4 linked regions of the Drosophila melanogaster genome follow. The protein of the gene in region 1 interacts with the protein of each later gene in a pairwise test. Each region holds a gene or a part of one and is shown in the gene's direction. Other genes may lie near its edges. The genes, in order: Cdk4, RabX5, CG5708 and dan.

The links.
Region 2: the proteins of Cdk4 (region 1) and RabX5 interact in a two-hybrid assay, tested with the Drosophila melanogaster proteins (one large-scale study listed by BioGRID).
Region 3: the proteins of Cdk4 (region 1) and CG5708 interact in a two-hybrid assay, tested with the Drosophila melanogaster proteins (one large-scale study listed by BioGRID).
Region 4: the proteins of Cdk4 (region 1) and dan interact in a two-hybrid assay, tested with the Drosophila melanogaster proteins (one large-scale study listed by BioGRID).

What each region holds. Positions count from the first base shown.
Region 1 is NT_033778.4:16,577,007-16,587,633, forward strand, and holds Cdk4 (Cyclin-dependent kinase 4), read left to right. Parts: upstream 1-2,463; 5' UTR 2,464-2,527; intron 2,528-2,557; exon of another isoform or gene 2,558-2,920; intron 2,921-3,099; exon of another isoform or gene 3,100-3,687; intron 3,688-3,826; exon of another isoform or gene 3,827-3,835; 5' UTR 3,836-3,906; coding exon 3,907-4,009; intron 4,010-4,989; exon of another isoform or gene 4,990-5,864; coding exon 5,865-6,030; exon of another isoform or gene 6,031-6,363; intron 6,364-7,145; coding exon 7,146-7,281; intron 7,282-7,343; coding exon 7,344-7,672; intron 7,673-7,737; coding exon 7,738-7,873; intron 7,874-7,945; coding exon 7,946-8,029; 3' UTR 8,030-8,442; downstream 8,443-10,627. Other genes in the region: RpLP2 (ribosomal protein LP2), read left to right, coding at 9,217-9,558; Dolk (dolichol kinase), read right to left, coding at 10,288-10,505, 10,598-10,627.
Region 2 is NT_037436.4:1,666,260-1,672,939, reverse strand, and holds RabX5 (RabX5), read left to right. Parts: upstream 1-2,831; 5' UTR 2,832-2,855; coding exon 2,856-3,103; intron 3,104-3,163; coding exon 3,164-3,265; intron 3,266-3,324; coding exon 3,325-3,389; intron 3,390-3,451; coding exon 3,452-3,585; intron 3,586-3,635; coding exon 3,636-3,861; intron 3,862-3,916; coding exon 3,917-3,975; 3' UTR 3,976-4,039; downstream 4,040-6,680. Other genes in the region: CG13930 (uncharacterized protein), read left to right, coding at 235-417, 480-1,921, 1,982-2,197, 2,252-2,468; RpL23A (ribosomal protein L23A), read left to right, coding at 4,314-4,344, 4,719-5,131, 5,205-5,594.
Region 3 is NT_033779.5:10,222,954-10,230,434, reverse strand, and holds CG5708 (uncharacterized protein), read left to right. Parts: upstream 1-3,626; 5' UTR 3,627-3,770; intron 3,771-4,469; 5' UTR 4,470-4,561; intron 4,562-4,623; 5' UTR 4,624-4,684; coding exon 4,685-4,931; intron 4,932-5,002; coding exon 5,003-5,156; intron 5,157-5,285; coding exon 5,286-5,477; intron 5,478-5,542; coding exon 5,543-5,675; 3' UTR 5,676-5,978; downstream 5,979-7,481. Other genes in the region: ova (ovaries absent), read left to right, coding at 485-730, 824-1,021, 1,089-1,250, 1,309-2,574; Bcs1 chaperone, read right to left, coding at 5,994-7,289.
Region 4 is NT_033777.3:25,180,536-25,188,579, forward strand, and holds the start of dan (distal antenna), read left to right. Parts: upstream 1-3,847; 5' UTR 3,848-4,894; intron 4,895-8,044. UniProt on the Drosophila melanogaster protein: Probable transcription factor with a role in the retinal determination (RD) network. Regulates ato expression and is required for normal R8 induction and differentiation.

The sequences.
Region 1 (10,627 bases):
CTTACCAATCAAGAAGACACTAATCTCCCCAGTAGTTCGGATAAGCAGATAGCAGGATGAGAATGGCGATGGGCAACTGGCGCCACACACACACACACGGAAGCCACCGTGGAGTCGTAAAGCTTGTCAAGATCTATAGCTCTAAAGATCGAGATCTCTCGCCGAGATCACGGCATCGGATCGGAACCAATTTGGTGTTCATTATGCGGCCGCTTTATGCAAATCGCTGCGATGCGGTGACGCATATTTGGATGGATAACTTGGAAAACTGTCAACCGAGCACTTGAGCTTGGCTTTCATGCTTGAGGGGAACACGTAATCCCAAGGTCTCGAGTTCTTGTTTAATGCCAATGGTAATGAGCCGCGCTCGACTGGATCGGTTCTCCGGATACCGCTGGCCAAAAGAGAAAACCCCCTTCTTGCCGCACGTGATCAGTGGATCAGATCTTGGATCTCGCATCTCAGAACTGCGATCTCCGATCATCGATGGGGTTCGGGTTTGGAACTAGTGTGTTCGATTCGCTGGGCCAGTGACGTTGTTGGCCAAGTGGCATTAGTTTGTCGATTTCAAGACCCGTCTTGGCCGTGTCAATGGCCAACCGGTTGCTTCGGCAGACTGCCGTGCTGCTGCTGCTGGCTGATTTATTCAATTGGCTAACATTTAGCCAAATTGCCCGTCAACACCCCCGAATTAAAAAAAGAATAAAAATAGAGAAGAAAAAACGGGCTCAGAACGCGCGATTCATTTGGACTCTTTGTTTGGCTTGGCATTTTCTTGCGTATTTTTAGCCAGAACCAAGCCATTTTGACCATAATATTTGTACAATAAATTTCATTTAATTAGTTTTTTGGCTCGCAGCCGGTTTGAAACGCAATAAGATTAATCGCCAGCGCCGATAAGCGCCTTCGTCACAGGCCGACAAAATGTCAGAGAGTGAAAAACAAAATATAAATGCTTATCAGCGACTTGCGTCTATTTGCCGATCGGTGAATTTCAGATTCGACCGGATCCTAACGGTATACCATATAATACCATTATTCCGGCAACGTTCCAGACACACAAACTAATGCAAATTAAATGGCTAATCCGTTGGCAGCTTCCTCGGAAATTATTAGTTGTCAGGCGGTTGAAAGACAAAGCCGATTATGATACCCAGAAATCCTGATAGCACACTCATTCATTATTCATTCATGAAAAGTTTTTTCTGTGAAATCAGTTTGGCTTGGAATCGGAAATGCATATGTTCTAATTGGGTGAGGTATGCTACACGGCTGGGCGTTGACTTCCGCGAAGGAATACGACTCATCCAGGTGCTAAGTGGGCCAAGATGGGCTGCAGCAATTGAATCACAAATGCCAATCGCCGACTGGCGCCCACCAAAGGTGAGAAAGGTGGGCACGTTCCGGCTGTCTGGGAAAGTGATATTTTCATTTCCCAACAAAACACATCCATCCTGACCAATCGCATTCGCATTCGCATTCGCTGTTTGCCCTTTCACTTTGAGCCGGAAAGGCGTACGTCATGCATAATTTAGGTGCCTGATACCCGCTGGTGGTAATTAGCACTCGGCTGACTTCGTCACTGTGCTCTAATTTGATTTCGTTACTAATTAATCGCGCTTTTTCCCCAAAAAAAAACATGGAAATTTTCGCCAATCCAATGGGTAACATTTGTGATAGGCGGTTTGTTAAATGCGTTTATTGGTTTCACAATGTATTTGCAACATTGTTTTTAAATTTACGCGCCCCACTGCGAATGCCTTGATTCGATTTCGAAATTGGCAGTGCGGCCAGATCGTTGGAAATCGGTAAGCAAGCTTTCACTCAAAAAAATGTTGAGCGACTTTTGGCATTCAACTCATGTCAATAAATTATACATTCAACGAGTGACTTTATCGCCGGATTGAGTTACAAATTGAATTATGCCGCCAATCTAGATCATTAAGACATTTTATTCCAGAATTTTGTATTATTTTGCAGGGTTATAAAAATTTAAGTTTACCAAATCCTAAAAATGCTAAAAGTCAATGACACACATGTTTGGAGTTAACTAATTATGGCCGACCAATTGTAGTTGACCACGACAGTTTTAAAATTTTCACATTTTATCGTATGTAATAAAAATTTTTTTCAAATATTATTTTCATTATGTTTATTATTATTTATTTATTTGTAATTTATATATGTTACATATATAAATGCCTGAAATTCACATTGCAAAAAAAATAAATTTGGGCATTATTACAAGTTGAAAATATCAAATTCCCAGAAATCAATAACATTAGTATAACACAATAACACTTACGTTATCGAATTGGAATAACATTCAATAACGATCGCTGGCAGCAATTTCGAAATTAACCGTTTAACCGATTGGACGTATACAGCACAATGTTAGCGGCCGTCTGTTTGCTAACAGCGGGCGATAACAGGCGAAGAGAAGCCACTGTTAAGTAGACCATCTAAAACAGTTTCCAGAGCTGTGCCAACAACAAAACACAAAATCACTCAACTCTTACGAATATTGGTAAAAATTTATAAGACGTTTTAAAAACTTAATTAAAGTGCGACTGCCGGCAACTGAACCGTGTTCGCACCGAAAATTCGCGTCGCGTTGCTCCTATCGTGCGGTTCTAGCTGGATTATCAACAAATGCCAAAATTTCGTCAAAGCGAATAAAAATCATATATGTATACATAATACCTGCGCCTGTGTGTGTGTACCACTCGGTGTGTGCGTTTGTGTTTGTGTATGTGTGTGTGTGTAAGACCGATCTCTCAAGCGAAATCACTTAGCGGCGTTGTGTGTGTGTTCGAGTCTTCGCAAATAAAAACCACATTTTCTTAATATTTAACTAATATTTCGCACAACGGTTGAAAGAAAAACGACAACATTGGCATTGAAGTTCACCGAAAAAAAAGTAAAGTGAAGCCGAAATTTCCTTATCAGTAGAGCGCAAATGGTGAGCGAGAGAGGGATGACGAGGGAGAGAGAGGGGGCGAAAACTGGTGCAACAATAACTATGTATTTTAGACCCAAATATACAGCTCGTAATACCTCGTAATACCTTTCACAATTCTGGACACTCTCTTTCTACCCAGTTTTGTGACTGTGTCGCTTATTATTGTTGTTTCGCTTGTCTCGCGATTAGAATTAATTGACAAATGCCAGCAACAAAATACATTGTATTCGGGTTCTTTTTTGCGGTATATGTATATTTTTCGGGCAAAAAAAATGCACTGACAGAAAAGTGGTAGCACTTTAGATAGGAGAGAATAGTGGACACACGCCAACTAACGCGACAGTAGATAACCAGTACAGCGTTCACAGTCAAGCTCGAATAAGAGCAACAGGATGCACGAACGAAGCCGCAAAACGGAGACGGCGAGCAGCGTCACTGAATAACATGAATAAGTCATAACTAGTGTTGGCCTTTGCCGTTCTGCGATTGGTTAGACATAAAAACGGAGTATGTACGAAAACATTAAACGCGGTTCAACGACCGCCGCCATCTACATACATACATACATATGTAGTTGTCCATGTATATGTTTCGGTTTTCGGTTCTCGGAGATAGAAAAGCATAGCGGAGCATATAGCCAGACTTCTTCCATTAGCGCACCTGTCACACCAGTCTTTATCGCCAGTTTTGGGGTTATCTAGAAAAGGCAACAGGTATGAAATCAGGTAAGGCCCTCCCTCTCTCTCTCACGCACTCGCACTCTCCCTCTCACGCTACGATCTGTGTGAACTATCGCGTGGGGACACAAGGACATATCGATACGTGACATGCAGACGATCGATAACCAAAAAAAAAACACCCCTTCACTTCCAGCTGGTGCAACTAACGGTTTCGATTACCCGGAATATTAGAGGAATACGCAAATAACCGTAAAATCCAGCTAAATGTCATATGTACGCCAGCTGAAGCGGCAGAAAATGTCCCAGGCGAAGAAGTTCGGCGATGGCGATCCGTTCAACTACCAGGAGCTCAACATCATCGGCGAAGGTGAGCGACTTGGGTGGGATTTAATAATGGGACGCGGTTGCTTTGTTGTTGGGATAGGTCCGGCTCTCTTCGCACGAGAGGCTTTCGTTTGCTGGTCGCTTGTTGTTAACGTTTGATTACTTTAATTTGCTTACAAAGTCTGGGCTATTTGGTTTCACTACTGTTTACGATCAATCGGGAGCTCCGACATTGTTATGAAGCTGAAATGACAAGTGCACTTGGAGGAATGTTGTTGTTTTTTTACCCCTTTACTAATTAAGCGTGGAAATTCCGCGAAAAGGGGAAATATTGGATGGAAAACTCCCCTGTATTGGATCCTACACCTTCTACCTGCATACTTTTAGGTCCACTCTCGGCGGACTACGTGTTTCTGCCGATCTCACATCCATGATGATCTGACAAGTGGCTCATGGTCTTTTTTTTTTGTGGTCAGTAATTACGATCGCTTGTTTGCTGTAAATAAAGCCCAAATCAATTACGTCACCGATCATGCCGATCATCATGGGCAGGCGAATGCTAATGATGGATATTGTTACTGGGTGTTGTGCGAGTCATGGGTCCGCACAATTTCATCTGTTATACAACGCACACACACACACATACACTCAAACTTTCGGCTGTCTGCCTTTCTGTGCACATTCATTCAATTATTATTCGCTTTCGCTCAGTCTCATTTTTGCTACTTTGTACTATGGAAAATTTGACCACTTTTTGTGGCCAAACTAACTCCAAACTTTTTTTGCATTGCCTTACACTAGCCCATATTTTTAATGATATATAATATATATTTTTTAGTTTGCAGATAGTCATTCAATTAACTTTTTTGCATTGCCTAACAGTAGTCACCGTTGTAACTAAATGCATGCATTTAATATTACATATATTAATCGGTTTTCGGCCAGATAAAGTGCGTAAATTTCCCATAGTGCTTTGCTTTGTTGTTTTCTTTGCGCAATTTTTCGAGTTTATTTTGCTTGTATATTTGTATATTTTTTTGACAATTCCAATTGGACAGACCAGTTGCCGACGTTCAAAAACGAGTCGAGCTCACGGCCTTGTACTTGAATGTAGCAACAGCGGCACAGTTCATAAGCCAGGTGGTCTAGAGACGGTGACAAAGGGACGGAAAACCAAATTCACCCCCCCCCCCCCTCAAGTTGCGTTTATTTCGGGTGTATCAGTACATATCTGCTGTTTCTGTATGTCAGTGTCAACCGAAATAGCCGGTGCCTTCTAGCTTTTCTACCCCCCACGCATGTCCGTCCGTCCGTCCGTTTGTCCATTTGTCCATTTGTCCGTACGGGTGATAAATTTTCGGTGACATTTCTCTGGCATGCCAGAATTTGATTCTGATTGGGAATTTTGCTCGTCTCTTGTCGTTTTTCTTTGCCCGTGAACATGTAGAAATTAAGATCACGTTGTACCTGAGACAGCAACAGTTTCATGAGGAAATTAGTCTGAATTTCGTGCAATATTTTGACTAATTTTGAGTGCATATAATATAGTCTCTAATATATGCAATTATTGCATGCATTGCAATACGATTCTTTTGGGCTAAATGCATTCATTGTCTATTCATTCAATCATTATAAACAGTTAGTTCATCGAACAAGGCAAATAAATCAAGTCACTTCAATCGTAAGGGCTATAAATACGATGTTGAATATGAAAAGTATAAATACACCATAATGATATGAAGAAGCTAAGTGGCACCTTCTCTCTTTCTCTCGCCTCTCTGATTTCTGCCATTTATCTTATCGGCACAGCTGACTTTATTTTATTCTATTTTCGGCTGTCTTTCGCATTTATTTCCCGTTGTAAGCATTTTGATGTACAATTTCGATCCACTTTTCAGGTGCCTATGGAACGGTTTACAGAGCCCGCGATGTGATCACCGGCAACATAGTGGCGCTGAAGAAGGTTAGGATATCGCTGAACGAGAACGGTGTGCCAATGTCCACGCTGCGGGAGATTTCGCTGCTGAAGCAGCTGAATGCCAGCAATCATGCGAATATTGTCAAGTGAGTATGGGTGATTTACACGCTGCCACAAGGGCAGTGGGCTTCTAAATGGCCTTGGAGTTGAGTACTTTATGTAGAACTATAGCTAGCTAGCTGTATATGAGGGGTGTTATCACCCGCCATTGGGGCCAAGTGGCGGCGCCAAAGCTATTTGCCAAACTCATTTGTAAAGAGCCGCATCGCAATGTCAGCGCGCTTGTGTTTATCTGTGCATGCTATAGCCGTAATATTCCGACGATTTGCCCCCGGCGAACGCCCTCGCTTCTGACATATGCCAGTCAAGTCAAGTAAGTCTGAAGCAAGTCGATCCGCTCCCGCTGATAACTGATCACTGCAGTTCGCAAATGTGGGCGATTTTGTATTGGCATTATGTTTGTTTGCGGCGGCCGTTAGGAATTTGAATTAACAGAGCAGCTCGATAACCACATGTTGCTGTCGCGCGTTATCGATGTGCGCACTCGCTTGCACTTTAGCAGCGTGAGAGCGCGACGCGAATACAGTACAAAGAGATCGACAGAGAGAGAGAGAGAGAGAGAGATCTCGCACAACAGAATGTTAAGTTAAGTTGCAAATGGCTACAAAGTGCAGCTGTTATTTTGTTTGAAGCCAAAAGTGTTGGAGGGGTACAAGAAATAAATCAATGGCAAATTAAGTTTCTTGTATTTATCTGTATTTTTAAAAACCCAATGTGCCAGTTGCTAAAGCAAGTGTAACAGTAGAAGGTTTCAATAAAACTGTGCCTTTTAAGTAATTCAAAGGCAATGTTAAAATAACTGCCCGAACTGATTCTAACATAATGCTAACATAACATAATGCTAATCTGCTCTGCTAACGTTTACGTTTTGCCTCTGTCCGAAAACGATCTGTAGCCTCTCTTACTGGACGCTCTCTTTGGCTCTTTGATCGCCATGTGCGCATGTGTTTGTCTCGAGTGCTTCGCGTAGTTCCCGAAACGAACAAAGTATGGCCAATGGCGTATTGGCGCACCACAACCAGCAGCATTTTATGACACATTTTTTTTATATCTCTCAACATTTCCCCCATACATCGCTCTCTGTCGCACACAAAATCAAACAATTTGTACATACAAAGATTGCACTTCCCCTCTCTTTCAGACTGTACGAAGTATGCCAGTTTCTGGAGCGCGACGGCCAATTGCTGATTCTGTTGGTTTTCGAACATGTGGAGCAGGATCTTTCGGATCTTATAGACAGACTTCCCAAATCGGGCATGTCGCCGCCCACAATTCAGGTGGGTCTCAAAATGATATCAAAATTTCAGAAAATGGTATATGAAATTATTTCCTATTGCAGCGCTTGTCAAGGGAACTACTGACCGGTGTGGACTTCTTACACTCACACCGTATCATCCATCGGGATCTTAAGCCGCAAAACCTGCTGGTCTCCTCGCAGGGCCACCTCAAGATCGCCGACTTTGGCTTGGCCAAGACCTACGGTTCGGAGATGAAGCTCACCTCCGTGGTGGTCACCTTGTGGTACCGCGCACCCGAGGTTCTGCTCGCCCAGCCCTACAACAGCACCGTGGACATCTGGAGTGCCGCCTGCATCATCTTCGAGATGTTCAATCGGCGCGCCCTATTCCCGGGCACCTCCGAAAAGAATCAGCTGGACCGCATCTTCGAGTGAGTGCACAAATACTGCCATTGAAATCGGTGATTTTTAATTACATTTATGCGATTTCACGCAGACTGACCGGTAGACCCACCGAGCAACAGTGGCCACAGACCATTTCCGTGGCCCTGGAACACTTTCCCCAGCGGCATCCAAAGAGACCAAAAGACTTTTGCCCACACCTGTGCAAGTACGCCGATGATCTGTTGAATGTGAGTATGAAAATGAAGATACATATCTTGTTGCATGGTCTAGACTAACGCATACCCTATGTTTGCCCGCAGAAAATGCTTTCCTACGACCTCCACCTGCGACCATCCGCCTTGGCCTGTTTGGAGCACGATTACTTTCAGCAGGAACCCCTATAGTCTCGATGCCCAGAAGGATAATGGATAATGGATTATGGATTATGGATTATGGATTATGGATGTGGAAGTGAAAGTGGCAGTGGACTGATCATTGCGGCCGCGCTTCGTTCTTGTTACCAATGTTCCTTTAAGTGTAGTGAAGCATTTTGTTTATTTTTTCGCGACAGTCCAGTTATTGTGTCCGGGGATACGGATCCGGAATAAAGAATACCTTAATTTGTTTGTAGTCGTAAGTTAAGTGTGAATACTACTGCCGATCAACTATCTGATGACCATTACATGTGAAACGATTCTCGAGGGCGTTTGAAGGCCCTCCAAATCGAAATGTGATACACAAAGTTCAGGAATGCATTATACAATTTCAAAATTTTGTACAACAATCATTTATATATGCAATTATATATACAGCATACAATAAGATGGGTCTCATGTCTTTTCTGCAATTTATTTCAAGTGGGGGTGCAACTTAAATTTAAAGTGTTTTTGAAGAATAATAAATATCTCATATTAAACATATTTTCGAAAAAAATTTATTTTTTATACAGCTTTTTCGAGTTTTATTACAGTTTTATATTTATGTGTACAAATAACAGTTAAGTTCTGCTGTTAAAACGATGGTCATGTTAATCATCGATAGCCAGCTGTTAACTTTTACGCATCCCTAGTTCCTTCTCTTAGCTTACGATCACTCTCATTTTGCTCTCTTTCCAGCACTTAACAGTATGTTAGACCTCGCCTAACAGAACCGTTTCAAATGGTGTGACCGCCTACTGCAAGAGCAAAGTGCTTCCCACTATTACGATAGCCAAGTTTGAAACCCAGTGTTGCAACTGATAACATTTCCATGCTGTAAGAAAGGTCATATTATTAAGCTAATATAAATACTTTTTGATGTTGTAAATATAAAAAAAACACACCAAATTGTTCAAAAATCAATAATATTGCTCTAATTTTTATTTAAAAGCAAAATTGAAAATAATATTTGAATTTATCGTTTCATTAGGGGTATTGCTAGATAAGGATGTGGTATACTTTGGTATATATAAGTATGAGCTGGTATTTTCGAGCCTCGACCGCGCGGCCACACTGACTTCCGCCTCTTTTTCGACGACAACTTGCAAAGGAAAGTTGTGTTTTTCGTACATTTTGCCAATTCACGTTTCGTGTCAAGAACCCAAGACTTAAACATGCGTTACGTGGCTGCTTACCTTCTGGCCGTCCTCGGTGGCAAGGACTCGCCCGCCAACAGCGATCTGGAGAAGATCCTCAGCTCTGTGGGCGTTGAGGTCGACGCCGAGCGTCTGACCAAGGTCATCAAGGAGCTGGCTGGCAAGAGCATCGACGACCTGATCAAGGAGGGTCGCGAGAAGCTCTCCTCGATGCCGGTGGGCGGCGGTGGTGCCGTCGCAGCCGCTGATGCCGCACCCGCTGCCGCCGCCGGTGGCGACAAGAAGGAGGCCAAGAAGGAGGAGAAGAAGGAGGAGTCCGAGTCCGAGGATGACGACATGGGCTTCGCTCTCTTCGAATAAGCGGTTGAATGTGGCGAATATACTGTGCAACACACTTGCGAGGCGAGAAAGCAGCGTTCTGGAGCAGCCATTCATACATGGCCGGCCAGTCTACACACTTGTGTAGCACCCATCCGTTCACCATTTCTACGTAATAAAAATCAGCAGTGTTTGCACTTTATATAAACCAAGTGAAATTGTGTTTTTTGTGCCGTTTATGCGGTTATTTTCATGGTTTTTGTGCCGTTTTTTCACCCATAACAGTGGATCCACGTGTTGGCTAACATTCTGTTGGACGCCTACGGAGTGGATTATGTTAACTTAACAGTCGGCGGGGTGCACTGTTAAGACAGCGCATTCTTATTGGATTTTTAGATATTTTTTAGACCTTGTGTATAACAAACAAAATAGATGGAAATTAGTAACTACACTTTCAGAAGGGCAAAAATGGATCAGAAGACGAGATGACATATTGGTAAAGATATAAAATAACCTGCTGTCCGGTTCTAGAAATCTTGTATTTATAAATATTATCTAAACTAAACAAAATATCAAACTTATAGCTTTGTGTTGGATTAGAAAGGTAGCATATACATTTTTAGGGAAGTACTTCTTTTTAGTCCCATAAAAGTTCGTCAAAATATAATATGGAATATAGAGTTTTATAAACATTCTTAATAAGTAGTTTTATATATAAATACACCGAGGAATGCGTACACTAAAACTAATTTACATAAATATGCATTCTATTTAGGCCAGGCCCACAATGGTATAGAATATCAGGGGTAGTACCAGGTTGTCCACCTGGTCGGTGAACGCCTCCACCAGAGCCGAATTCAGTGCTGCGAAAATGGTGGCGAACCACTTGGCCTGGCTCATGGCCACCAGGCCGGAAATCTCCAGGAGCCAGACGGCCATGAGAATGGACACCACGAACGCAATGGTGCCCTCCAGGGATCGGGAAGATCCTAGAAGTATGGCACGCGTGTTAAAATAGAATCTTATATATGCGAATGAACGCATTGAAAGATCAGTGTATCTTTCAGTTCATTCTACTTACTTCCCCACTTGTTGCGTCCCAGCTTGGATC
Region 2 (6,680 bases), on another chromosome or scaffold:
TGCACTTTTGTTGCGCGATTTAAATGTGAGTTATAAATATTTATGGACGCAATGAGTGCAGTCATGTGTGAGCCTGCTAATGGAATTCCGTGTTGCAATCGGAGTGCAACTACAGCACTTGGTAGTTATGGCACCCATATATTGTATCCACCATTGTTGCGTTGCCATGTCTGCACACGCAGTAAACAAGTTGGGAAATCGGCGGCACGCGCTCATTCAAATTAATTGAGAAGGATGTCGCGACCTTTGAGGAAGGATTACCGCACCGCGGACTTCGAGCAACTGAGCAGGATGATTAGGGACCATCCGCTGATGAAGGAGCCCGGAGCGGAGCAGCAGCAACTCCATAAGCTCCGTACGCCGGAGTACCGAACGAAGTGCGTGATGAGAGCTTCCTTGGATGACATTGCCTTGGGGGTGAGTGCCTATCATCCTTAATGTCCAAAGAAATCAAGCCATACAGTATGTTTATTCGCCAGATCAATCTTTACAAGCTGCAGCTGGACACGCCCATGTCGCCCACTCTGGAGGAACCGAATTATCTGAAGGAGCCTGCTTCCTCCGCCCGCTCCGCCCACTCCGCCCGTCCTCCAGCCACGCCCTTCATCAAGGTGCTGCTCCGAAAGACTCCCATCGTGGTGCTATTCGAACGGCGCAGCATGACCGCCTTGGCGGACACGGAGGAGGGTCGCCAGGTGATGGAGGACAACCGGAAGTACGACGAACTGCTCTCGGGAACGGACAAAACGCGGAGAACCGTCGATGCGGACACCCAAACCATGACGGCGCTGATGAAGTCCAGGCTGGTGAACACCGAGCGGCTGACCACCGCCCAGATGGGTTCCTATGTGTCCAACTTCGAGATGTACGACACGTACACCGACCTGGAGAAGTCCACCACGAGTGTCCAGGTGCAGGGCGCGAAGAAGATGGAGATAACCACCTACCACGTGGGCGGGGTGGATCAGTTCGTGGGGATCAACTGCCTGCCCGGCTTTCGACTGGCCCTCATGCTGACCATGCGCATCTTGGCCAGCAATGTCTTCGAGCCGCAGCAACGGAGGTACAGGAACATGGCTCCTCCAGATCCCTTGGCCGAGGACGTCAAGTTCAAGTACCGACTGGGCCTGCTGTGGCGACTGAGCCCCCCCTCGTCGGATCCCAAGGTTCATCAAGCGGTGAGCGACATGAGCTTCTGTCCCAGCAATGGGGACATCATGGCGGTGGCCTACGGGGTGTACAGCCACGGCAAGGTCAGCAAGTTACCCAGATCCGGCTGGGTCTACGTGTGGAACATCAAGAACCCTGTGAATCCGGAACGACGCTACCACTACCAAGTGCCTGTGGTCACCGTGGAGTTTTCACCCACCCAACCGCAACTGCTGGCCATTGGACTGCACAACGGAGGTGTGGAGGTTAGGGATATTTCTGGACAGGATCTGCCACCACTAGCTGTATCGCAGCGTTTGTCCTCGCCATACTTCGAGCCAGTAACGGCCATTAAATGGATCTACTTCGAGGGCGATGTTGGGTGCAGGAACCCGCACATCACGCCCTTCTTGGCCACTTCGCAGGCTGGGGCGGTGACCAAGTACCGGCTGATCAATAGTCCCAATATGCTGGGACTCGAGCAGCAGCGTTTGCAGCGGGCGGAGGGCGAGCTAGAGGGGATTCCCATCGAGCGACAGCCTCCGGCGGCTTCCCTCCTGGCCAACAGGCATCCGCAGTGTCTGGAGATTGTGCTCGATCCTGTCCAGTCGGACATATACTACGTGCTGACCGACGAGGGTACCCTGTACAAGTGCTCCACGAACTACCCGCTGCAGCACTTGGAACTAAGGCAGGTGCACGATGGACCCGCCGCCTGCATGGAGTTCTCGCCCTGGTCACCAAGGATGTACCTCACTTGCGGCAGCGACTGGTGAGATCAACTGCGATTTTGTTCCGGGTTTCTCTATCCTCACTCATGCGTCCCCATCAGGTGCATTCGTATCTGGCTGGCTGGAATCCTGTTGCCCATCGTGACCCTTCAGCATCACCTGTCCCCGGTGCACTGCGCCCGCTGGAGCCGCACTCACTCCACCATCCTGGTCTCGCTCAGTCGCAGCACCGTGGACATCTGGGACCTGCGCAATAGCACCATGAAGCCGGTGTCCTCCACGGTGATAGACGCCGACATCTTCTACACCACCTTCAAGTGAGTTCAGAGTCTTCTCCTTGAATGATCCTATCGCATCTCCTCGCCTTCCAGATTCACCCACTGCGGCCGTTCGCTGGCCGTGGGAAACGAGGCGGGCAACCTGTTGATGTTGTCCTTCGAGGACATGCCATTCCCGCCGCACTTTCAGTACAAGCAGCTGAAGAGAGCCATCTTCAAGGCCCTCTCCATGCAACCCGATCTCCGCAAGCAGGTGAAGAGCGTCGGCTACTTTGGCTATCCAGGTGGGACGAAGCAAACAAGGGCTTGATTAGATTAATCAAGATATTATAACCATAAGCCATTGTATGAGTGTTATGATTGACACAAATAAAGCCACCAAATACCAATCCAAAGCGTTTTCCTTTCGGGCTTGAAGGTTTAATGATATGGATACAATGGCAGCCCAATATTAAAGCTCAGCTCTTAAGGCCTTCTCCCTATCGGAACTAACCCACACCCGAGCTGCTCTTATCGAGCACCTGCATTTGCAATGCAAAGCAGGGGGTGTAAGGTAGCTTTCGGCACCTTGGGCATGTGATAGCCACCAAGTTCAAGCCGACCAAGTTTGTGGTTTGCGGCGGAGGCGATGACGCCGACGACGTGGCTGGCTTCCCCAATTTGAGCTGCTTAGTTAGTTGGAATAGAGACGTCCGCCATGCCCCATCGACTGCGGCAGAACCTGCTGTTACCCCAACCGCCCACGGTGGTCCTGCACGATCCTCGCACCCACCTGCGGCACCTGCCACCCGCCTACAGTGCCGCACAGACTCCGCTGAGCAAGGAGCGGGACTTTGGGGCGCAGGTGCGCTACTACCTAGAGGCGCCTCGCAAGCCCAAGTTTCGACCCTGCAAGGTCATCTTCGTGGGCGACTGCTCCGTGGGCAAGACGGCCATCGTCAATCGGTGAGCATGGCATGGCATATAGGCATTACTAAATTAATTAACTTACACAATCATCCGCAGATTTTGCTACGACAAATTTCAGTCGAACTACAAGGCCACCATTGGCGTGGACTTTGAGCTGGAGAACTTCAGCATTCTGGGTCACAACTACAGTCTGGAAATGTGGGTCAACTGCCTAGAAGGCGCTATCAGTTTGGTTTTGAAATGTGCTCTACTTGCAGGTGGGACACTGCTGGTCAGGAGCGCTTCAGGTGCATCGCCGGAGCCTATTATCGCAATGCGAGTGGTAAGTACCAACTAATTAAATCATTAGGAGAGAGTTTTAACAATACAAATCCATAACCAAAGTGATTGTGGTCACCTACGACATGTCGAAGAAGGATTCGCTGGAGTCGGCAAAAAAATGGCTAAATAGCGCACTCAACTACAATGCAAGCAAGAGACCCTTGGTTTTCCTGGTGGGCACAAAAGCAGACCTCTTGGTAAACCACCTTTCCAACAAAAGATTCAAGTAATAGCACTTACTTTTCAGTCGAAGGAGGAGTTTGTACGCATGGAACGACTGGCAGGGTTGGCAGCCGCCGAGCTTCAGGCGGAATATTGGTCCGTTTCGGCGCGATCTGGCTTCAAAGTTACGGAATTATTCCAAAGGATCGCTGCCCTGGCCTTTGAAGAGGCTGTAATGCAGGAAATTAGGTCTATTAAGAATAAGCCTCAGGAACAGGCCACTCAGGCATCTGTTAAATCGCAAACTTTTGGTAAGCCGCTATTCGAAAATTCTTATCCTATCAGCTTATATTTATTCTTATTTAGATTTACGCAACTTCTTTGGAAGCCGCCTCTCGCAACAGAAAAGTGGCTGTACTTGCTAGCCTGCAGATTGCACAACTTGTATTTTTAGCTTAACGTAAGACATTGAATAAAACAGTTTTAAACAATTTGGTTACTTCTTTCGCTTTAAATTCGAATTCAACAAGTACCGTTACATTTTAAACACCGTTAGCGTTGCCACTCATTTTTGCGGCTGTGTTGCACGCGCACAGTGTCAAGATAGCAAGCCAGACACGGCTAATAAGTGCCGCAGCAGTGTTGCCAAACGCACTGAATGCGTGCCAAATTCCAGCTATCTGGCCACCCTCCTGTCAAAACGGGCTTCCGCCTTTTGACAACTGCCCCTCAGTTTTCCTTTTCATTTCTTTTTCTCGTAGAAATGCCACCCAAAAAGCCAACCGAGAAATCCGGTAAGGATTTTTCATTCAAAAATATGCGAAAAATGCGTGAATCGATCAGCAAAAGGGAGACGACAGCTCAGCCCACCAGAAGGCAATCGAATTTGTGCGAAATATTGTGATTTTAAGGCATAAATGTGTTCGAACAGATAATCCGTAGTTTCGGCCACGTGCGGTGTGTCTGCGTGGGAATGTCCAAGTGTGTGTTCAGAATGGGATAGTATAGCAACCGAGTGAGCAATCCAAAGTTGAATTTATTCGAATGGAGCTGGATGAGTCGGAAAGCGTCCCATTGCCTTGCTGATCGATCAGGCCTAACCTAACTTTGTGCGTCGAGAGCCGAACATGTTTACTAATCCGTGGACTCCGCGCTCTTCTGTTTACAGCCAAGCCTGGCGACAAGAAGCCAGAGCAGAAGAAGACTGCTGCGGCTCCCGCTGCCGGCAAGAAGGAGGCTGCTCCCTCGGCTGCCAAGCCAGCTGCCGCTGCGCCCAAGAAGGCTGCTGCCCCAGCGGCTAAGAAGGCTGCTCCGGCCGCCAAGAAGCCAGCGACCGCCGGTGCTGCTGCCAAGAAGCCCGCGGCCGTAAAGACGACCGCGGCCGCCAAGGCCAAGAGCAAGGATGCCAAGAAGAAGGTCCTCGCCGGCAAGAAGCCCCAGTCCGTGCTGGCCAAGCTCTCTGCCAAGGCTCGCGCGGCCGCCAAGGCCAAGAAGGGCGTGAAGCCCGTGACCAAGCCCGCCAAGGGAACCGCCAAGGCCAAGGCTGTGGCTCTGCTGAACGCCAAGAAGGTCCAGAAGAAGGTGTGCATCAGCTGCTTAATATTGAGGAGATCGACTCGGACTAACCTCGTTCTTTGTTGCTCTTTTCGAACAGATCATCAAGGGCGCCTTCGGCACCCGTGCCCGCAAGATCCGCACCAACGTGCACTTCCGTCGGCCAACCACCCTGAAGCTGCCCAGGAGTCCCAAGTACCCCAGGAAATCGGTGCCCACCAGGAACCGCATGGACGCGTACAACATCATCAAGTACCCACTGACCACCGAGGCGGCCATGAAGAAGATCGAGGACAACAACACCCTGGTCTTCCTCACACACCTGCGCGCCAACAAGAACCACGTGCGTGCCGCAGTGCGCAAGCTCTACGACATCAAGGTGGCCAAGGTGAACGTGCTCATCCGGCCCGATGGCCAGAAGAAGGCCTATGTGCGCCTGGCGCGCGACTACGACGCCCTGGACATTGCCAACAAGATCGGCATCATATAAGCGCTGCAATCTGCGGTAACGTGTGGAATGGGCATCGCGTTCTACATTTTATATGTAGATTCTTTTCTATAAACAAAGTAATGCTAAGCTGACACGGTAGAGCGAGGATGAACGTTTCAAAGTTGTCTGGGTTTAATAAAACCACTCAAAAACTAAGTGTGGGTTTTCAATGTGGGCTCAATGGGTTCTGAGTTTCTTTCAGTTTTCTCTTTCAGATTGGATACTTCAGGTTTTAGCGCTCTAAATTGGTGAGTTTTTAATAACAAGCAATCTTTCAATTTGCTAATACTACCTTCTATCGCAGGCTGTCTTTAAATGGGAAGCTTAACTTGCTAAACGAAGAGGTAATTAAAGTTTTATTTTGTAATTTTAATGTATAACACTTAGCTGATGATATTACGAGTAGGAATCTCATTGAAATAACCATGAAATCAATTTTATCTCCACTGATAGCATTATGCTCAAGGAAGCTGAACTCAACCAAACCAAGCTAATCAAGACTTTATTTCGTTTCAGTTTTCAATCTGGCTCGTATCTGGATCCTTGGATATGAAATTCTTCAAGGTGTGTATATTTCGGATGGAGTAGTTTGAATTGTAATCTGCTCTGATGATATTTCGAGTAGGAATCTCATTGAGCTACCTGTAGCTATGAAATCAATTTTAATCTCCCACTGATCAAATCATTTCAAACAACAATGGCTTCTCTTAAAGCGCTTTATTTAACAATTCTTTTTTAATTCATTTCAGTTGCGCCATTGTTTCCCGATTCTCTGGACTAACTTCTTATAAGGTGTGTATCTGTTTTAGTTACTGACAACTTCTTTATTGTGATGATATTTTGAGTAGGAATCTCATTGAGCCTCAGTCATTCGTTGCTTTGAAATTAATTTTGTCTCTCACTGATTGCAAGCATAAAAGCAAATATGTTCATCGTTGTGAAGCATAACTAACCAAGTGTTTGCTTTTATTTTTACAGAAGTGGCCCGATTAATGGATTAATGAGTTAATTCTTAAAGTACATTTAATTGAAATATATATAGAAATAAAACAGAATCCTGAACCTAAACAATTGTACATTTTATTG
Region 3 (7,481 bases), on another chromosome or scaffold:
CCTGAGGGCTTTACGATTATACGAACAAATACGGACTTACAGTCAGTTATGGCTGTATCGACATGGCTAGTAATCCGGATCAAGGCTGTAAAGACTTGTTAGTTTCATATTTTTACGAGTAACTGGCCTTCATCAGGACGGACAGGCAGATGATCATTATATACTTTTCAAGGACTATAGAACAACTATTACACGGTACCTAATTGAGTTTACTCATCACCCTCAGTATTCTCTATTGATCTCGACGTTCATGAGGACGGACAGACATACGGACACAGCTAGATCCATATACTGCGCCCCTTACTTATCACAACTGCTAATAAATATTTGAAATCGTTTGTTTGGTTTGGTTTTAGGAAAGTTTAGTAGTTTTAAATTTTTAAGTAGATATGTTATACATATGTAATCGTTTTAATCGGTTATCTTGGAAAACTATCGATAACATGGCAATAAAATATAACATTTTAATTCACTTGCAGTGACAATGGATGAAAAAGATAAAGCTCAACACAACATGATATCCAACCTACCACTTTTGTTTGCGAACGGATATCCAACATCCCTAGAAAAAATTACGGAGTCCCAGTTAGAAAATTTTATTCCCTTCATGGTGCAATGCTCTTTAGGACACATAAACTTACCAAAGAAAATAGATTGCAGTGAACCAGAATGGTGGCCCGAAAGCGCTCCTTTCGAGATTCCGCTCAAAAAGCCGAAAGCATTTGTTGGGGTAAGCTTTTTTCCCTTACCTTTTGATTTCTATGGCTTATATTTAACATTCACCCCCATAAATGGCTAATATATACCTGTATCTATTTTACAGAATTGGATGGAAAAAATGAAAGAAATTGTGGTTATATGCTATCAATTTCACAAAAGCTTATTTCTATTAAGATTTTGTAATGATTTAGCTGCGTATGAACACGCGAGCTTAAGATTCATAAACAATTATAACTCAACAACTTCATTGTATGACAGGAGAAACAACAAACTGTTGGTTACATTTCGAAATGAAAACATGGTAAGCCAAGCCTACTTTGAATAATTGGGTTTTAAAATTAGTTAATTCTGAATTGGTTATTTTGCAGTCATATGATAGACAACAAAAGAACAGAAAGTGCTTGTTGCTGCAAAAGAACAACAGTTCCATTAGCGAAAACGTACAGCATATGATGGTTGAGCCACCACCTTTTGATATCTACCTATGTGACAACTGTGATGCCGAACTTTATTCTAAAGAAGCTATACTCGTAAGTTGATTGCCAAAGATTGTCAAAGTTAATAGTTAATAACTCTATTGCATAACAGGAACACGAAAACATTTGTTGCATGGAGGATGACGTTATACTTTGTGATTCCCCTGAGCCAGATAACAAAAGTGATGGGAAAAACGAAGATATCGAACAGCGCAACGCCTTTCTCTTAAACTTTAAACTGCAACCCAAATTCTCCGATAATAGTTTATCTAAAGAGAAACAGAAAACATATTCATTCAGCGAAGAAACATCAACGGAAACATCAAACAGAAAGAGGCGTTTACCATCGCGGAGAAATCGAACAGTTCATTCGTTTAGTAGGTGTTCGTTTATCCCAATATCATCACCTGCAGGACAGCAATTGTTAAAATCGACAAAACAAACAATATCAATGGATTATATTGCGGAAAGACAGGAACGCCTGGAACGCTTTTGTTACACTCCATTGATCAATAAATCAAATACCAAGCAAAAGTATTTTGAAAAAAAAACAAACACTACAGTGCATTGTACATTTAAAAAGTCACATGAACACAATTATCACATATATTCCTTTCCGCGGCGTCAATTTGTTAAACGCAGGGACACTACTGAGAACTTTTTGTTTTTGAACTCTCCGCTGATTAAACAATGCCGTCCAATATCAGTCAGATTGAAAAAAATATCCGAACACGTAATGGAAGAGCAAAATCACACTGCAAATACAAAACTCAATATAAGACTAACGCGCCACAATTCGCTCAACTCACACTGGAGAATTTCACCCACAAAGGAAGTTGTTGTTGATACAATTGACTTATGCTCCTCGGACGACGATGAGCAACAAGAGCCAGCAATAGGCTCGCCCAAAAGACTTGGCTCGGATGCACTGACTGTAATAAAACTTACACATAACAACAGAAATTTGTACAGTAGCCGCGTCGTCGAGCCAAGTAAATGTGCTCCAGAGCCAGAATCAGTAATAGTTGATAATTCGGTTAAGCCCCTACAGCAATCTTTATATATTTATTCAAACTATAAGGCTAATTCAGTAATTAGTCGCTGTACCGTAGACTCGATAGCCAATCATTCACTGGTTGGTTCCCTGAGTACATCGAATACTTTTGCTGATTCTGAGGGACACAGAAAGGAATACAATCAGGAAAACTGCAATTTTTCTAAGAACTTGGTCGCACTCACAGACTGGTACGCTCATTCGGCTAATTCGAAAAAAAGCACTACAAATCAGACTACTGAGAGTAGTACGTTTGATGCGATTTCCGCGGCTCCGCCTTTCAATGGCACTGGGCGTATAATTTCCATTGATTTAACTTCTTAGACATTTTAATCCATAGTTAAGTTAAGAAATTGTTATTTTACAAGAAAACCTAAACTAAGAATTACCATATATGAATAAATAATTTGTTTAAATACTTTTATATATAATGTCTAAATTCATTTTCTCTGCGTTTTAAAGAAAAGACATACTGTAGAGGAACCCTACTGTTTTGGGATCTCTATTACCACGTATAGATGGTAATCAGCATATTTTCCATCCGTTTTCTTCATAGTTCGAAGCGTTAATCGATGATCTGGTTGTTTGAAAGCATCGACATAAAGTACACGTAAATAGTACATGACCTTCAAAAGCTTATTTTTTTTGGTTATGAGTCACATCATAATTTTATTACGTCATTAAAGAAAGAGAGGGGACGTCAGGGTTAATACAAAGTAGCATTAATCCCATGATTGATACTTGAACCAGTCTTTTCGGTATGTACCTCAACCCAACGTGGGCTTGGCCCTTTGTAGAGTTAACCATCACCCCGCCTATTTTAGGCGATTCAGCTGTACGCGTCAGCTGCTTTTGGTTTGGCATATCTAGTTTTATATCGCATTTTCCATTCATTCCGATGGGATGAAGAATTTGATATAATTTAGACCATCCCAGATGTTTCTTTCCCACACTGTTCCACTCGATGCATTCTCACTGAAAACGTCTTTCAAAGAATACCACAGTAGTCCAATTTATGTAAGCCAAAACATATGAAAGACAACATTTTAAATGTTTATTTTATCATCATATGAAATTTCTCGGTCGCAAACGAAAATATAAATGTTTTCCACCGGAATAGAAAAATATCGGTGATCACAGCGATTATCCATATATAAAATGAATAAAATGGATGGATAAATGTCTTATAAATTTGGTATTCTTTTAACTTAAATACATAGGTAAATATAAAAATTTATTTTATTGCTTATCTTATTCAACCTCAATATAAATAGAAAAAAGCCAAGACATCATCACTGACTGCGATATTATACAGCCAAATAACTGAATTGACCGATTAAAATGTGGAAGTGTACACGGTGCACCCTGTATAATCGCGGATTGCTTGCTTTCATATCTATGAATTAGTTTGGTATGTAAAGTCGTATACAAGAAATGGTGTTTGAAACCAAAGCGATTTTACTGTTCCTCATGGTGTTGTCAAAGAAATTTTCGCTTTTAAATAATTAATTGATGAGTGTGTAAGTGAATATTGTGTTTATTGTTTACAAAAACCCCGTTTAGTCGAGTGATTAAGTGAAACAAATACCAGCATATATATGTACACAAAATTTCGCTCAAATGTGCCACTGACAGCAAATCAGTATTTCTGTACATAAACGTCAAGTTTGCCAGTTTGAAGTTTTAGTTCGCCGTAATGAACAGTGCAAATTACAAACATTAAATATTGATTAATCTATCGGCGTAAGACCGCAGTTTGATACACACATATATGTACGTACATTGCAAGCGTTCGCTGCGAGTGTGTGTATGTATGTATGGTCATTTGGGTGTTTTACTTATGTACATATGTACGTACGTGCGTATATAATCAATTTGTATGTAATGACAGCTGTGCAGAATGCAATGATTCAAAAATAATTTCAAATTGGATCGCTTTCGAAAATCCAAAAGTCATTTATTTTGCTGATTGCCTGTCGCTATTTTTGCATCCGCAATCGGCGAGAAATGGCGTGAATAGCACGTTCTGTCATCGATTGATAAAATAAATATTTTATTACCTTCTAGTGAAAATTCTGGATGGTAGTTTGAATTTTTTTTCAAAATCGGCGTAATTGTACTAAAAGAGATGCATTTATATTTTTCCTTACTAAGCTTAACATTTATCTGTAAGCCCACTGCTCCTTAAAAAATAATTGATTATTTTAAACCTATTTTAGATATTTTATGTGGTTTATGCGTTGAGTTTATGGTAGAAACACGGCAATTATGGAGTTCCACGACTAGGCTTCATTTTTGCACATGTTAAAAGGTGATTTTATTAATATATTTAACACATTTCCCTCTATCAATACATGTTTCTGTACTTTTCAGGTTTAAACCATAAACAGGACCCATATGCCTTCTACGACTTAAGTCATCAACATTATTTGCAATGAATGCAACGTTCCATTCATACAGAGACATACTAGCGGCACATCACCAAGACTCATCTAGTCCTGAGAACTTCGCCCCCATAGTAATTGACTATAGAAACTCAAACCACACAAAGGACACTGTGGAGACCAACTCGAATATCTCATCGTCTCAGCTATCGTTCATGGACGAATCTTCAAACGATTTCAATAATCAGCAGTTAATTCATTCCAACTCCCTTATTAAAGTGTGTGGTGGTTGTGGAGGTAAGTTCCTTGAATCGATTCATCTATGAGCTACAATAACTTAACTCACGTTTTCTCTGTTTCGCTTGCAGATAAAATAAGTGATAGATATCTTTTATACGCTTTGGACAGATACTGGCACAATGGCTGCCTTAAATGTCACTGCTGTGGAGCTATGCTAGCAGAAGTGGGTTCCAGCTGTTTTACGAGGCGAGGCCTGATTCTTTGCAAAAAGGACTATTCCAGGTACGCACGCATTCGACTGAAAAGATTATTTCAGCTTCCTTAAAAACATGTTGCCTACTTAATGGCGTCAACCATTTAGATACTCTTTAGATTATGTTCCTTGTGTTCAAGTTCACATTTATTTTCCAGCATGTTCGGGTGCTCCGGAGTTTGTTCTGGCTGCGGAGAAACTATACCGCCAAGTGAACTGGTAGCGAAAGCACTTACTGGAATAAATAATATCGATTTACAAAATCAACAAAAACAAATAATTAATTGCGTATTTCATCTAAGGTGCTTTAGTTGTGCTAAGTGTGGATCCAGTCTGCGTCCTGGTGATAGGTATGCCTAACAACACACTGCAGTGAAGAGCGAATTTGAAATGGAATTGCTTTTTCTTTTTGCAGGTATACTATGTTAGGAGCTAGCTTGGTGTGTGAACAAGATTGGCACAAATTACTTAAGGGCCCCGCCAACTCGAATGGAACGCTTGGACAAAGGAAAGGAAAGGTCGGTAGGCCCAGAAGATCAAAGGACTAATCAAACTTAATGTCACATAAAATATACATATATTTTAGAACATAGTTCATATTTTTAAATTACCTATAAAAATGTAATTAAATCATAATATAAAACAAGACCTTCATTTAGGTGAGTTCGATTGGGAATTACACGTGCAACTATGCATAAAAACGAATGGATAATCTTAAATCATTGAAAAATGAAATAAATTCGAAAACAATGACATAAACTAATATCGAATGACAGTAAAATTGATAGATGTTTTAATTAATTAAGACCCAAAAGGGACATCAGTCTTGTCTTAAAGAGCTTCAAGTAAACAAAATCCACAACAATTCAATTAATCTTTTTATTATGATCTAAAACATTTTCCCAGATATCTTCACAAGAATCAATAACAGTTTGCGGCGAGGACAGTTTGTGCTTCATGAAAAAGCCTTGAATTTGCGCCGGACTAGCGGAGCGTCCAAAGGAATTCACTCGTTTTCCGAACTCCTCGGCTTTTGTGGTGTCACTGCTGGCGAAGAAGTTCTTGAACATCTCCTCCAACTGATATTGCGTACAATAGCCAATGTATTCCTTTAAATCGATTCTACCAGGACGAACTAAGGCGGGATCGAGGCGGTCAATGTAGTTTGTTGTCATGAAGACAATTCTGGCCTCCGTGGAGCCCACACCGTCCAAGCAATTTAGGAGTCCACTGAACGTTATCCTGTTGAGACCGTCAAAGGCGGATTTCTGCTGCGGAGTAGCTTCGCGCGAGACGAATGCTGCGTCGATGTCCTCCAGCAGAATGATACTCTGCTCTGGCGCAACATTCAGGAGATGATTGAGTCGATCATCGGTGAGGCCTCTTTCGGATAGGTTTAGCAGGCAGACACTGTACTCCAGTTCGCCCGCCAGGGCGGTTATAAAGCTAGACTTGCCACAACCAGGTGGCCCGTACAGAAGGTAGCCTCTTCGGTAGGGGATTCCACGTTGCGTATACCACAGAGAGCTCTTAATGAAGTCCTGGCAGTCGGCAATGATTCGCTGCGAAGTTCCGCGATCCAGCACCACCGATCCAGTGGGACGCCTTCTGCGCGGATGTCCGAAGGGTCTCCATTCCGCACCCATCGCTGTGTACAGCACGGTTTTGCCCTCTGTGGCCTCCAGAGCCAGCTGCCTAGCCTCTTCGAGGATATCGAAATATATACCTTTATTGTTACCAAACGCTGTAAGCGTCACTGTCTCCCAAGGAACACCCATGTGAAGGTCCAATGTCTGTTGTTCCCTGGTCCGCTCCACCTGAATCCAATTGCCCTTGTACTGGAACAGATGCTTGCCTATGCTGGGTATGAAGTCATAGCTGGTTTTGATTGTGCCATTGTCGTTCTGCACAAAGTTTGTCTCCACGCTCAAGTGTTGCGTTTTTCGCGCTCCTCTGATCGTAATCCATTTTAACAGCCACTGATAGGATTTGTCCCGACACGGCACCTCCAGGGTAATCATGCAGTGCCGCCGGAACAGTATCACTCCGCCCTGGAGGCCCTTGCGCAATATGGCAGCAGCGGCGCCCACACCAAATAGTCCAAAACCGGCACCAAAGTAGGGATTTGACGAAAGTCCAGCTACAAGATCGGGCAAAGTCATCTTGTCTGCAAAAACCGAGAACAAGGATCAACGTTTAATTAAAGTGTTTTACTCTTTTTCGGCAATAAAACCCTATAAAACAACACCTGTTGCTTAATCTATCATCCAAAACATGGGTTCCTCCTGTAAACAATGGTACATCTTTTCGAAGCAACTTTTTAAACAAATAAAACTGAAGTCTAACATATACTG
Region 4 (8,044 bases), on another chromosome or scaffold:
TGGGGGTGCAAACAAAGGAGCTACGAGCTCGAATATGCAAATCATAGGAACATAGCATAGAAGCAGCAGCTATGGCAGCAGCACACAAAATAGAATACCACTAGTGCATGTCGAGCTCATTTGAAGGATAGGAAGGGCACGAAGGACGAAAGGACGCACTGGGTCCAAACAACTTGCGAGAGCTGCGGTTTTGTCTGCTCAAATCGCCTTAGCTTAGACAAAACTGCAGATAATGGCCAAGGAGGCAGGGTGTTTCGCTCCGGGTTAGGTAGGAAAGAACTGCCAGCATGGGCATCTTGCAGGACCGCCCAGGTCAGCACAATTGCGGACAACGGATTAGACTGTCTCCAGGCGACGATGCTCGGCTCGACTTGACCATCGCAAATATATCTGCAGTACATGAAATCAGGTGTATGTGAAAAGGAACCGCATCTTCTACTGCTATAAAATAGTTTCGCACACAATATATATATATTGGCTTCAAGTATTATTTATCGACTTCATTATCTATCAACTAAATTTTATATCAACTTTCACTTAAAATTCTGAGAAATTATATTTCTCGTTGATATTTTTGAAAACTCGATAAATTTCTATTCCAGGTGGTTCATATTTTTGTTAATCTTTCGTAACCATCAATGTCAGTTCTGATCCAAACTGGTATCGAATTGAATTCCCAAACCCAATTGATGGTGATCGAAATAGAAATAAATGATCGATGAGTTGATTGAAATGGGCAGGGACAAATCGAGTTTAAGGCAAGGTGCAAACAAGTACGCATCTAGGGATATATTTTGAGTAGATCCCAGTGTACGAGTACATGTAGCCGGGAGAAACGCACACAAGCACGAAAAAGCATACATAGAAAACTCGTGTACACACATTTATCTTTTCGAAGGCAAAACTGAAAATTTTGTTTTAGGAACAGTTATACAAAGACAATGTGAGAGGATGCAGATTCCCAGGGCGGGTGGGTGTTGGTAGATGGGTGCTGAAAATCAAGCGCACACGTCTTCTAGCATATGTACACACACCGACACACACACACATAGCCACACGTTCGAACGGAAATCAGCAAGGACCTATGCGTGTACATATAACCAACCATCGGGGGTGACCAACGTCCAGCCCAGTGCGCCTTCATCTTTCAATTCACGCGAAAATTTCCTTCGCCATCCGGAGGTGTGACATGAGGGGTTGGGTTGATTCAGGGATGGATGGGGGATTCTGGGAGGTGAGTCGGGTTGGGTGAAAGGACATCGCAGGACGACGGTGACAACGACGCGGGCTTGCCAGAGTTAGGGAGAAAGTGAATTGAGTTTAGTCGAGGACGACGAATTCGTAATTGTACACACACACGCAGCGACATTAAGGCATCCAGCACACACACACACACTCACAAATGGACACACATACACATCCGAAAAGGGGGGTTTTGACCAACTGAAGGGGTGGTGTGGTGGGCGGTTGGGCGGTTTTGGTGGCTTGGTGGCTAGGACGAAGGCGGCTGGCAAGGAGCTGCAGATATGAGAGAAAGTCCGGCGGCCAAAGAGAGGACGAACGAAAATGGAAAATGTTGCCTTGGTGGACACAATGGACAATGGACAATCGGTCGGGTTGGGCTCCGCTGTCTAAGGGGCGGGGGGTTTTTAGGTTGGCCGATGAAAATCTGAAGTATATATACCCAAAAACACACACCAGCACACACACTCTAGCACGCACATTGGCATAAAGCAACAACTCTAAATTTTCGCAGCAGCAAAATTTACGCTAAAGATGCTGATGTGCCTGCGGATGCTAAGAAGAATGTGCGTCTGTGTGGGTAGCGTGTTGCCAAACTGCTTCAGTGTGTGTCCAGTGAGTGAGGCTGCGGGTGTGTGTGTGTGACGAAATGAAGCGACCCGGGCAGGCTGCTTGGCTTTTTAGTGGCAAGGATATGTTTCTTGCCAATGCGGCCCCATGCCGGCCATCTATACTCGTGGTCGTCCGTAGTCCGTCGTCCGTCGTCCGTTGTCCGCTGTCCGTATTCCGTAGTCCTGCGTTATTGTTGCTCCTTGTTGTGTATACGCCTCTACTTATATGTACGACTACACTATATCCTTGGGCCTGTGTTTTCGTGTGCGTGTGGCTGTGCGTGTACGTGTGATTGTGCGTTTCGGACATGGATTCAAAAACCTTTCTTAGCGATTTCCCGAAAGGCAGCAACTAGCAACTCTGGCGACACTGCTGCTGTCTTTTTCGTTGCCGTTGTTGTTATTATGGTCAGTGGCCGCCTTCGTTGGCCAGATACAATAGGGAAATAGGGAGCTATGTATGTGCGATTGTGTGTGTGCTCTGCGCAAATGTTTTGCATAGCAACTACTAAGTCTACGACCTCAAAATGCCTATGTGTACACACGCATTATATAAGATCGTAATCTCGGGGCTATCCCACGATGGTGCAAATACTTGTCAGGTTTTTCTTCTCTCGCAGAACTAATCAAAATACACTTTGACTTGAAACTTGCTTGGGAATGATATCAACAATCTATTTAACATGGTTTTTTATTCCTACCTAGAGCTTATCAGCTCGGTAATTAATATTACAAGGAACCTAAACATCTTAATGCGTAACCATGTTAAACATTGGTGTATACCAAGCATTGAATATGTTGTGCACTAAGTATATGAATATGTATGAATATGTCGGCACTTTAATGGAAAACATAAGTTATTGTCCTGCCTACCTATATACACTACAATTATATTATTCTTGGTAGCTAAATATGGGAAATACATATTTTGAAGCTGGCTATCACCTGAAATTTGCAGCTGATTAGTTTCTTGTCCCACAATTTGAATTCGATTATTTCGCCATCTGACATTTCTAAACCGCAGCAATTTGCCTGCAAAAGTCGATGGAGAAACAACCACTATGTCATGCCCATATCTTTGCGATCGAGTGTCCGTTCGAGAATTCCGGTTCCTTCGGCGATCGCCGGTCACGCTCCAGCGAAAAGAGCGACGAAAAGAGCCAAGAAAGCCACTCTGTTGGACGGATTCGCCTTGTTTTCAAGAATGTGGGTTTCCCAAGGGGGGTTTCCCCGTGGGGTCACCACCTCCTGCCGTCATAACTTCGTTCGGTTCGGGCGGCAAAAAGCCGAAGACGAGGACGAAAGCTGCTCTCTCACTGGCTCTCTCCCTCTCTCTCTCTCTCTCTCTTAAGGAAGAGGATGTTCGGTTCTCATTTGCCTCAGCTCTTTGCGAAACGGTCGCGAAAGAGAGGCGAGCCCACGTAATCTGCGATGAAGGCATGTATCAAAACAAAGCGAGGAAAACTGGCCGCAATCACAACAGCAACAACTGCAGCACATGACAGCGGGAAAACTAGCAGAATTATCAGTGACGATAAAAGGCGCACCCCCTACTGCGAAAATTAGACAGGGATTTCGGCTAGGTTTTTCACGTTCTTCTCGCAGATCCGTTGCTCGTTTGATAGTTGTTGCCCAGCGTTTAAGGAAGCAGAAAATGGCTTAGCTAAACGCAAGCAAATGCCTCCTGAGGTTGCACACAGTCTTACACTGGAAAAAATCTAGATTTTACCTAAAACTAATACAGAATACAAGGAAATATAAGCTTGGCAGAAAAGTAATATATACTTTTCATCACAAGCGATCGTATCATCTATTCGTTTATTTGTATGAAATTTCATTTTCATAGTTATAATCATGGAATATATGTACATAACTAAGAGATACAAAATTGCTAAATTATTATACTAAATTTCGAATTCTTACCAAATTTAATAACATTATCTTTACTAAGGTATCAAGATTTTTCTCTCTGTGCTCACACACACACGTGGGCGCAAGAAAGGAGGCCGAAAAGGATGTGCGTCTCTCAATCTCAAAAAGCCTAGCACGAGTATTGCGTCGTCTTCGTTGCACACAGCTGTGTGTCCGCACGTGTGTGTGTGTGTGTGTGGGAGGATGTGCTGTGTTAGTATGTGTGCTCGATATGTGTGTGTGTGAGTGGACACTGGCCTGTGGTTGGGCCGGCCAAAATGCGAAAATGCCAAAATGCGAATATTGCGAACGGGGCAGCCAAAGCGAGAGGACTTCTTCGCCGCCGTCTTGACCGTTATTAATCATTGTACATTTGGCTGTCACCGAAAAAGGCCGCGAATTTCGCAACAGTGAGAGCGAAAGAGAGCGGGCGAAAGAGAGTCCGAGAGAGGGAGCGAGAGAGAGCGACTCACGCACACGTGAAAGAAACAAAAACGACAACTACAAAACTACTAATACCAAGGCAGACCAACTGACCAGCACACAACCACCACTGCAGGACGCATATATCTGCGAGTGTGCTTGTGTATGTGAGTGAGAACGAAACGCCGCATTTCGTGGACGTGCGACTTTAAATTTCCCGTGACGTCGCCGCCGTCGTCGCCGTGCGGAAATTCGCCGCGCTAAAATCAAAATTCACTCAAGTCCGCCGCGGTAGTTTGTCGCCGCACGCTAGCCGCTCAGGTTCGCACATCCACGTCACAGCGACGCAGCGTCACAATATCACAATATCCTTCGACGAGCGCGAGAGAGAGGTCGCACCGCACCGCACCGCATGTCCTGCCGCTAAAATTCGCACGCCACAGCAGCGGTAAACATCACGCCGCATCGCGAGCACAGTGTTCGATTGTGATTGACCGAGTGATGTTATACTTTCAAATGAACAACAACATTAACTGAAAACAATAAATTCAAATCCATGTGAACTATAAGTAAAGTGATTTAAAAACATCGCCGGTCGAGATAAGAATAATTTAACTGCTGCAAATAGTTGCGCTATCACCGAATTTCTCCCGCCTTCGCTGGAAGAAGGCACCGATCCATTTTCGCCCCCGGAAGATAACTAAAAGGTTAGTATTTGATTTCACCGGTGAATTGAGCAATCCGTAAAGTGTAATTGTTAGTTCTGCATTAATTAATAACAGTTAACTGAGTGTTTTAAACACAACTTGAAGAATTGGTGACACAAGAAAAAATATTAAATAATCAAAAAATATTTATTTAAATCGGAAACCAAACATAAAAAGTTTTTCGAGAGATTAGTTTTGAAGATTTATTGTTTACCTTTCTACATAACAAAAACGAATTATTTTTACACAATTTGGAAAACAATATAAGTGCAGTTCTTTGTGTATTTGAATAGTTGCCACATTTTATAAATTAATAAGTACAAATCTTAGTAGGTCCTTCAAATAACAACTTAACAACTTTTTTATACAAAAGAGCAGGAAATATTTTACGAGAAAGTATTTATTCATATTTATTTATAATAATATTCAGGAGTGATAGATATTGTGTATAACATTAATATCTTATGTAATTTTATTATTTACCTCCTAACACTGCGTTAGCAATTACTTAAATTTGCTTTCCATCAAAAATTAATATTTTTAATTTTTTATTTAATTTTTTTACCTCCGAGTTTAGATTCAAATATTACTTTGTCCATATGATACTTGGTTTGTAAAATAAGCTTGAAAAAATGTAAATTTTATATAACTAAAGAGTTTTAGTTAGATTTCCTTTATCTACCAAGTTTATATTGAATTGCAATATTAACAAACACAGGAAACCGGTTTTATTGGCCCCTTAATGTATGCAATACTTTTTGATTGTATTTATGGTAAAAAGTTATTTTCCTATCCGTTTAGTTGTTGAACGCTTCTGTGTCACTATTCTCATCTTGTTTTATAAATTAGAAAGTATTTAATAAAGTTGCTTATTATTATCTTTCTTATTTTTTATTTTATTTATAATTATATTTTTCTCGTACATCATTAGCATTTCAGTGTTGTAAAACAACATCATTCATAACATCACTGATATTTCAACACTAGGAAAATTATCAAAGGATTTACATATTTTTATTTATTTATTATATAACTGTAATTCTGAAAATCGATTCATTGTTTAAAATAGTATTGCCCATACATGAGACCATAGTTAGATAATTTGATAAAGTTCATATTGAATCCCCCGACAATTAATAAATTCGTTCCACTGCGAAATGCCGACACAACATTAATCGGGCTAATCATAAACGAAAACACACAATAAAAAAGGTGCAATAGTGCTTAAAGCCACATAGATCATTGGTGCCAACAGGTCCAACATTACAGCAGACACATGGTTTATTTGCACACACTTAACTGCGGTGAGGGAAGCATCCCAGACATCCCAGACACACACACACTAACACACGATTGGGTTTGGACCAAAGCAACTTTTTCTTTTATCTACGGAATTCTTATTTTTATGTGTTGCCTCGTTTTTGTGTTTTATTTCTTTCTGCATTAGCACAAACGAATGGAGCTATCAAACGCTTGCACATATTAGTACTAGTTTCAGTCGTTGACCTCCATTTGCCAGACTCTCCTGCCCCCCTTCGCTTGCCCCTCCCCCCGCCTCGCTCATCCCGACCCATCCCATTTGACCCTCCTTGGTGTCCTTGCCACATTGCCACATGCATTGCCCCTCTGTGTCTGTGAGTGAGTTCAATACGAAGCCAAAGAAACGAAAAAAATAGTAAATACAATAAAATTATAATTGTATATAGGAAAATCAGAAGCTCTTAGCCCACACACACACACACATACACACTCACGTGTACGATGAAATGGCCAGACGGTTGGCCATTACAGACATACTGACGGGTATGGCCATTCCGGCATACATATGTCCTGTCCTGACTAGGTGTGTGTAAGTGTTCGGGTGTGTGAGTGTGCATGTGTGCACAGCAGCAACATCAGACACAGACGGGCCCCTTCCACACACACTCACTCACACACACACTGACAAACTTGGTGTAATTCTTTTATATTTATTTCTTTCATCTTTTTCTGTTGTTACTAGATTTTTTACACACTTCTCACTGTCCCAGTTCGGTTCGTGAAAAGTTTAATGGCGAGCCGGCTAGGACAAGGACGGACCCACTGCAGAAAGCGAAAGTAAAAATTCTTTTCCTTCTACCCCATCTCAGACCCACCCATTCCCATTTGCCATTTCCCATTTCCCATTCGACTCCGCTGCTGAATGGCCAAAGACCTTGTAATTTTTATACAGCGGTAAAAGTTTTATTCGATATGTGTTTGGGTGCAGGTTGTTCTCAGGTCGCTGCTTCTCTGGATCTCCGCAGCTCCGGATCTGTGGGTGGTGTTAGTTGAATGGAGTTAGGTGTATGGTGTATGGTGTTAGGTGTTTGCTGTTTGCTGTTTAGGTTGTCGGTAGTAGGGGCAGAATCACATGCACCACCGTCGACACAGTTATTTGCTGCTCTATTGGTTATGAACAGCCCGGAGTGTCTATTTTTGTGGTTTGGGTGTCAAGTGAGGGGGAGCGAGAAATGGAGGCTTAAACTAGATTGGTATGCATTAAACCGCATACTCAACCAGGTGACAAACGCATAACTATTAGCAGTGATTACCAACGTAGCACATTAATTATATAATAATAATAATAGACTTAGATTACCTACTTTGTAGATAAATACATTTGATTTGCATACGCTTTAGAGTTAACTAAATAGCTTTAATTCAAATACTGGAATCTAGTACCACTTTTCTCATTTAAGTTTTCTTTGCATACAAAACAAATAATAGAAAGCATCCTAGCATATCCTATAACAATACCAACCAGATTAAATATTTGGCAAAACGATGCACCTTATCCCTTTTGGTCCTTGCCAACTGCTTATTCCAAATCATAAGCTCAAGTCTGCTTAAACAAGCAACCGAAGGAGATAAGTCCAGTGATTCAGGAGCCTCAAATTAATAGCTGGCAACGTGTAAACTCCATTCCAAGTGGCTTCAAAGCCAGCCAAGGAGCGATGTGCGTTTTGTAAACAGCATTGCGATGGATGGCCAAACGAAAGACTCCTCCAGTTTGGTCATCTGGACTCTCTTAGTTCTCGAAAGTTTCTCTTCCTTTGAGAAGTTCGCTCTGCGAGGGCACGCACACCAACTTGTGCTGCCAGTATATTTGAATGCCACACACATATATAT